Linked DNA regions of Bombyx mori. The protein of the gene in region 2 binds, or shares a complex with, the protein of the main gene of each other region. Links are inferred from orthologs where the notes say so. Each region holds a gene or a part of one and is shown on either strand. Other genes may lie near its edges.

Region 1 (3,892 bases), on a different chromosome or scaffold from region 2:
TTCTATGTCAATTCGAAGTACCTATTACAATACAACAGCAATTTCATACTTTAACCCCTATTATATTAGTTACCTACATAATTACCAGCACTATCATATTTATATTAATTGTACGAGTAATAGATCTTTGCCTATGAAATTGCCGTTTTATAATATTGCCGGGACACGTAAATAGTAATTATGGAAAACGAGTTTCGTCGCGGCATCAATGCCGCAGAAACGCCTCACAACATTAATGACGTGTATAGAGTGAACACTGGAGACGAACGCACGGTTTGGTGTTGGTTTAAATGCTTCTGTCAGGGAAATTTTGGTCTCCCTTTGGTCAACCTTAAAAACAAAATTATTGCCCTTTTATGCAGACATTCTAATGGACCCCCTTTGTAACCATCGCTCATGGACGAAAGCAATGCCAGAACCACAGACAATCAACTGACTGCTGACTTATAAATCTAAGAAAAGACAATAATTTTGTTTGGAATGTTTTGCAAGAAAACATGTTTTAAATTGTTTTAATATTTATATAATTTATATAATGTCTATAACTTAAAAGTAAATAATGAACAATGAATATTTGCTACATATGATATGGTGCTGGCGTGCGTACACTCATTAACGGGGAGTCCAGATATTCCATTTCAGTTGCACTCGGACCGGGTTCTGTTTGCGCATTTAATTTCTGTTGTAAAGTCTCATATAATTTATGTACAGATTCATTATGCTGAGTTCCAGGCTGCAGCGCTTTCATAAGAGTTTGAATTCTAGTCTCTGGTAATTTTGGATGAATATACCACAGCAATTTCAATAAGTGTCTTGTCACATTATCCTTAGATAGTCCAGCAAAGAAGAATTCATCAAATAATACAGTACTAAAATCTTCTCCTTGGAACTCATCAGGTAACTGTACTAGAAGTGCCACTAAAGCATGCAAAAATGGGTCTTCATATGCTCTACCATCTTTACAACTACCGAGAATACTAAGAATGCGAAGTAAGGCACCACGGTCACGTAATTTGGCTGCATGCAGTGTGTAGTACATTGCAATAACACCACAAACTGAGCTTTCTCTCATATAGGCTTCACAAGCATCAGGTGGAGGTCCCGAGTGCTCTATCGTAGTGATGGCAGACTCTCTTTCATCTGGAGGTAACTTATTATGTAGTGCTCTCACTTGATCATCCACCATCAATGACATCAAGGCAGGCAAGTATTTTGTGACACATTGACTATCTAATTTTGGCTCTTTGAATTCTTGAGAATCGATCATTACCCAAGCGCTCAACCCTAATGCCAACATTCTTAGCAGTAGTATTAAAACTGTACTATCTCGAGGTAGCCCTTCAGTGTTTATTAAATGTTGTAAAATTTTGATAGCTGACGTTGCTAAGAAATTGATAGCATAAGGGTCGCATAACGTCATAGAAAGATCTCCTAGAACTTGCTCCTGTCCCTTTTTAATACTGTCTAAAAAACCTTGCAGTTCCCTAGATCTTTTAATGTCTACATTCCTTTCCCTGATACAAGCATCCAAACACCATGTGAATTTATGACAAGGGTCTACAGATATGATGTCTTGAACTTCTAGGTCATGCAAGGCCATGAGAAGCTCTGCTCTTAATGTACAATAATGAACATTTCTAGTTCTTAAGAATAATGTTCTCAGGAATTGTAACACCATGTCATATAACTTAACACTAGTACCTATCATGTGGGCAAGTTTCTGAACAACTGCACCTTGTCTCCTTACTTTTGGGGAAGGGGAAAAAAATAGATTTGTAAGATTTTCATGATCAAACAGAACATCTTCTTTCTCCCTGATGTACTGACTGAGGAGTGGAGAAACTTCATCTCCAAACAGTGACTGGTTGTCTTGCCATATTTGACGCTTCACCTCAGTATCTGTGTCATTGTACAGTTCTCTGTCGCGAACTAGTACCCTTAGATACTTATCATCTATATGTGGGATATTTTTAAGAATACCCATTATAACAGGTCTTAAAGCTTTAACTCTGACGACTGGGAAGCTTTTAGATAGCAGTTCTTTGAGTTTTTTGTCATTATCCTTGTTATCTTTATTGCCAAGCTCGTTGATGTGGGCAATGAGTTTTTCACGTAATTCCTCCAGAACTGATGTATGAAAGTCAAGCCGCCGAACGCCATGGAGGTCTAGTAAAGGCAGCATCGGCCTTAAAGAAGGCAATAAAATACCGTTTTCAAGTTGAAACTCTTCAATAGCTTTCAATGGGTCGGTACAGCTTGTCAGAGCATCTCGCAAGAAAGTTTGTCCTGGTACTCCCACTTCTTCTAGACCAGTGCCTGGTAGTTTACTTGACGACGCCATCGATCTTAATTTAATTCAGTTTTTCAGTTCATTTAATAAATCAACACAAATAAATCTTAAATAAAGTTAACAACAACAGAAAATAACATAAATTAGTTTCCTGCTTAGAAATTATTGACAAGCAACTGACATTAAGCATATATTGACGTTTGACATCGAGCAGTAGTTTTATTTTTTTAACTGGAAAGGCAAATATGTCATACCATACGCCTACTCATATATATTCTTATATATGAAAAATGAAAATTTGAAGTGAAATAAAATGAAGTTGGTTAATTAATAACATGGTATGAAATACAATGAGATGAGATGATATGGGATGAAATATAATCTCAGTAAAATGGTGGTTATCTACTAAGGCTTTTTAAGTGGACTTTTTGGAGATCCCGAGAATTTACGTCCAGCGGCTTTGTTTCATTTTCCCACATTTGTGCAATTTCACAGATATTAAACAGCTAATAAACCACCGTTATTACTTTTTTTTTTAAGAGATTTTATGACCTGGTAACTGTGACTTTTAAGTCATGTCTTATTTTAATCTATATTCTTGATTTTATGAAAAATGATATTATGGAGTGAAATGAAATGAAAATGATTAATTTGAGACATTAATCAACTAGGATGAAATTAAATGAGATGATATGAGATGAAATCTAATCTCAGTAAAACGGTGGTCATTTACTAAGATTTTTCAGTGTACTTTTTGGAGGAGCCCGAGAAGTTAAGTCCAGCGTCTTTGTTTCATTTTCCCACATACCGTTATTACACAAGTGAAAACGTTTACAGATTAAAAGCCGTTCAATATTATTTGTAATCTCTTCGTAGTCTGTCATTATCATAATTATTGTGTTTTATTGGCTCAAACGACTCGTTACCAAGCCTTAAATTCTATAAAATTGACAGTGTTTTATCTAAAATCTAAAAGTTTGTATCAATCAAATTACCAATTTAAATGCCTTTCACTTGTGTATAAAAATGGATAAACAGAAAACGTAATTACTGATTGGTTTTCGTCTTAGTTTGAAAGCAATGCAAACAACTGAAATGAATTAATACATACTGCTTTTCAGATTAATATGTGGAGATGTAAATGGGAATTTCAATGCTTTGTTTACGCGCGTAGAATCGATTGTGAAGAAATCTGGACAGTTTGATTTGCTTTTATGTGTTGGAACATTCTTTGGAGATGATAATTCACAACTGGATGCATATAAAATGGGAACGAGGAAAGGTAAAAACGTTGACTTAAAATTTTTAATACGATAGAGATGGGCTCATTAGTTTACGGTCGACCCGGTATGAGATAGTCATTGGAACCTCTACATGTTTCATATTGATAATAATTATACTGTCGCTTATACTACCACGTGAGGATGAAGCATCAACATTATTGAGGCATTGGAATTGGTCAATATTAATTTGGGTGGGTTATGAATACATTTTTTTCTGACTATATATTTTTTTATCAACAATCTCAAATTACAGTTCCAGTGACAACCTATGTTTTTGGTCCATCAAATCCAGACCATGTACATCATTACTGTGAAGAAG
Region 2 (4,296 bases):
GTTTTAAATTTTTCCAGACATTCATTTAATACCTCTTCAGGGTTCTCAATAACATCTTCATTTCCTTCTTCCTAATAAATGTTATTTACCAGTTTAATAAATCAAACTACATATCACAACAAAATGCGTTGGAGTAATTATTTGTAAGTACTTATTTTGATTAATAACATCAATGAAATTATGAATTGCCTGTTCTCAGTTCGTGTTAAGGTTTCAGTTTGTGTTCTTAATGTTACTCTGTTTGGCTAAGGATTAATTACATTTGTTCAGGTTGTAACTTTTATTTTAATCATATTAACCACTCTTCAATGGTATGACAAGGATTGGTAAAATAATATAAATATTCATTTAAATTAGTAAAAAGATAAAATGCTACTTTTAAAACAGATAATGGATATATAGATGTAAGAGAATTAGGTAGTCAGGGAAACAAAACATAAATCTTGTTTTTTTCTAAGTTTTAATTAACAGAATTTGTTTTTTATGGAATAATATAAATATTGTTCAGCATCAGATTTATTAAACAAATGATGAGTTTTTAAAATCAGTTTATATTCATAAAATGTATTTACTTTAAAATTGTAATAAGTCACTATATTAAAAAAAATACCTATTAGCACCAATTAAATTATTAACTTACTTCATATTGATTATTATGATTCTGACCATCCCATACACGTTCTTCCTCATACTGACTAGGCATGGTTGTATATTAAGTTGCACTCAACTTCTATAAAATATAATATTTATTAGATTTGATCAAAACAATTGCTACTGCTTATAACTATGTGTTTTTATTCGTGTTTACACGGAAATAAAGATTAATCGGAAAAGGTACACGTACAGCTTTAAACAAACAACAAATTTATGATGCTGAGGCCCTTGATTATCAAAGTTAAAACAACTAATATTCATTAAATATGAAAAAAACCTTTTTTTTCAAACTAAACAACATTTTAATTTTTACTATTATGAAAAATGAATTGGTTTGTACCATGGAGTTAATAAGGTTTGTACTAGACATGCGTAGTTCCGGACCTAAATAGTTCCTGGAACTATGTCCTCATATGGAACTATATCATTCAATCCGAGTTGTCAAAATTAACATGTTCAGACAGTTCCATTTCCATTCCAAGTGTACTGTTATGCAGGAACTACGAACGCGTTGAACATGACGGACATGCGGACATGATTAGAGCATAGGTACCGCGCGGCGCGGAGGCGTGGCGCGGCGAGTCCACCCGAACGAGTCTCGAAACGACACGAGTCCACGTAAAGAGATAAGGCGACATATGGCACGAATACGAGAGAGTGAGATGGAGCGAGTGCATGAAACTGCGTGTGGAGCTCTTTCATATTACATTTTTATTAATATTGAAGTTATGCTCTACGACCTACGTGTTACAGTCGATAGTTGAATAAATTAAAATGTTTTGCTATGGATTTTGACCTTGACCATGCATCATTCCTACGAGCACTTAACCTTAAGTGTTTGTGGACCATTTCTTAGAAAATCATAATTCAAAATTCGAGAATTTTAAAACATTCACCACTTTCGCTATTCGGTATCTCGGTTATGGGAAAAAGGTTGTAAGGCTACAACGAGCTTAATTTACGTTGTATATCAGAATAACGTGGTATTTTAATTAACAACTGATAGGTTATAGTTTCCGGTGCATCGTACAATACCTACATTGAAAAATAATGAAAGTAGTAGAGTAGTTGAAATTATGACAAAGTAATTACAGTACATTAATAAATTATGCAACCAGCTGTAACAATGAACCTAAAACTAAAAACCTTACAAAATAATAATTACAATAATAATTGCCATAAGCGGCAATCTATTTTTATATAGTGCTTTTAAAAAATTGTATTTTTAATACCTTTTTTGAAAAATATTGTGTAATTAATAATAACTTAATACGTGATTCGCTACACTACAAACAGCTACTAGACTTAACATGTCCGCGGAACTAAACAGCTTCAAACAGCTACTAGACTTAATATGTCCGCGGAACTAAACAGCTACAAACTACAAACAGCTACTAGACTTAACATGTTCGTGAAACTAAACAGTTCCGCGAACATGTTTACTGGAACTAGTTCCGACACTCAAAAGAACGATGTCATGTTCAATCCAGTTCCGAACATGATTAGCGCACGTCTAGTTTGTACCTATAGTCGGATTTTTTATTAGACGAAGTAAACTGACGTTTACTGTGTTGTCAGTTTTTGATGAAATAAAAATAGTGTTGTGACAAAGTGAACGATTGAAAAAACTCCTGAATTAATGAAATTGCCTCGATTGTCTAGTGAATAGTTAGTGTGCCGAACTGCCGATATCGGGCACGGGGTTCGAATTTTAGCCGTGCTTTGTACATACCAACGAGTTTTCGACGAAACATTATGTTCCTATGGTATCTACCTGTACTGAATACCGACTGTTTTAAACATTAAGAAAAACATTGCGAGGAAGCTTGTAAGACTGTCCTATTTCCAATGCATCATATAGTTGAAACTATAGATGTATAAAATATAACAATTATAGGTACATAGGTAATGAAAATAAAAAAAACTGATTGTAGTTACATACTACTAGTAACATATTATTATATTGGATCACTTTAATACAATTTTATTGTAAAATATAAATAATATTCTTTTATAGTTTGAAATTAATGATTAACTCTTCACACTCATTGTTCATTTATGTGATTGAACGAGAACTGAACGCATCACTATTACTTTAAATATAGCAACATTATTTCACAAAGTGACATTAGCTACTGTCAGCTGGCTTCGTCTAATTAAAAATCCGACTAATTTTTTATTAGACGAAGTAAACTGACGTTTACTGTGTTGTCAGTTTTTGATGAAATAAAAATAGTGTTGTGACAAAGTGAACGATTGAAAAAACTCCTGAATTAATGAAATTGCCTCGATTGTCTAGTGAATAGTTAGTGTGCCGAACTGCCGATATCGGGCACGGGGTTCGAATTTTAGCCGTGCTTTGTACATACCAACGAGTTTTCGACGAAACATTATGTTCCTATGGTATCTACCTGTACTGAATACCGACTGTTTTAAACATTAAGAAAAACATTGCGAGGAAGCTTGTAAGACTGTCCTATTTCCAATGCATCATATAGTTGAAACTATAGATGTATAAAATATAACAATTATAGGTACATAGGTAATGAAAATAAAAAAAACTGATTGTAGTTACATACTACTAGTAACATATTATTATATTGGATCACTTTAATACAATTTTATTGTAAAATATAAATAATATTCTTTTATAGTTTGAAATTAATGATTAACTCTTCACACTCATTGTTCATTTATGTGATTGAACGAGAACTGAACGCATCACTATTACTTTAAATATAGCAACATTATTTCACAAAGTGACATTAGCTACTGTCAGCTGGCTTCGTCTAATTAAAAATCCGACTATTACATATTTATATTTATTTTATTTTTAATTTTTTAAATTAAATTGTATACCAATTAATTGCTCCTTCAGGATTTATATTTGTTTTTTTTTCACGACTAAAACCGCGTAGAAAGTTTAGCCATTATAGTTGACGCATGCGCAGTACACATATTTTGCATACATTTATTCAACTAATAAAAATAGTAAATTAAACAAAAAACGAGTAACTTCGAAAGAGAACAAACGTGTTTTATATAAGAACAATCGAAAATGAATATTTACGAGTCATTAAGGATGAAAAATATTAAAAATTGCATTAGAGGGGCTAACTTGTAGGTATATTTTTAATTTTTTTTTTTAAATAAATAAATGCAGAACAAACAATTATTAACAGTGAACAATCATGAACAAATGATGAACAAACGAATTAATAGAAAATAAGTATAAAATAGGAAAAAAATATTTTTTTGAGGGGCTAACTTCATTCACCTGGCTATGTCAGCGTAACCCTAACTTTAGTAGGTGAGCTCACGGGGCTCAAACCTGGTGAAGTAGGTGAGCTCACGGGGCTAGTAGTAGTTTTATTTTTCCAAATGGAAAGGCACAGGTATCATACCACACAGCGTAATCTTTTATATGTATTTTTTATTTTATGAAATATGATACTATGAAATGAATTGAAGTTGATTAATCTATGAAACATGGCATGAAATGAAATGAGATCTCAGTAAAATGGCGGTCATTTACTGAGATTTTTTCAGTGGACTTTTTGGAGGATCCCGAGAAGTTTATGCCATAGATATGATATTTAAATATTTTTTTAAGGGATTTTATGAACTAGTAACAAAGACCTT

What was found.
Region 1: the proteins of negative elongation factor D (region 2) and negative elongation factor B are in contact, whole or in part, in a crystal structure (PDB 8JJ6), measured with the Homo sapiens proteins. The link is inferred for Bombyx mori from reciprocal best matches to the Homo sapiens genes NELFCD and NELFB. Residues at the interface, in XP_047296144.1 of Homo sapiens: Arg63, Ile66, Met67, Glu68, Pro69, Ile71, Phe72, Leu75, Ile89, Gln90, Leu92, Ser93, Tyr96, Thr97, Ala98, Val99, Ala100, Gln101, Thr102, Val103, Asn104, Leu105, Leu106, Trp109, Leu110, Gln112, Thr113, Gly114, Val115, Gln121; in NP_056271.3 of Homo sapiens: Met49, Leu53, Leu56, Val58, Ala59, Asn60, Gly61, Leu64, Lys65, Leu68, Thr69, Leu75, Ile78, Glu79, Phe81, Gln82, Glu84, Asn85, Gly86, Val87, Leu88, Leu89, Ser91, Leu92, Ser94, Ala95, Leu96, Pro97, Phe98, Leu99.

Annotation. Positions count from the first base shown.
Region 1 is NC_085125.1:6,339,891-6,343,782, forward strand, and holds negative elongation factor B, read right to left. Parts: upstream 2,497-3,892; 5' UTR 2,342-2,496; coding exon 578-2,341; 3' UTR 501-577; downstream 1-500. Other genes in the region: CWF19-like protein 1, read left to right, coding at 3,317-3,333, 3,412-3,572, 3,827-3,892. UniProt on the Homo sapiens protein: Essential component of the NELF complex, a complex that negatively regulates the elongation of transcription by RNA polymerase II.
Region 2 is NC_085111.1:9,519,531-9,523,826, reverse strand, and holds the start of negative elongation factor D, read right to left. Parts: upstream 2,801-4,296; 5' UTR 2,179-2,800; intron 2,150-2,178; exon of another isoform or gene 1,887-2,149; intron 1,862-1,886; exon of another isoform or gene 845-1,861; intron 731-844; 5' UTR 704-730; coding exon 641-703; intron 72-640; coding exon 1-71. UniProt on the Homo sapiens protein: Essential component of the NELF complex, a complex that negatively regulates the elongation of transcription by RNA polymerase II.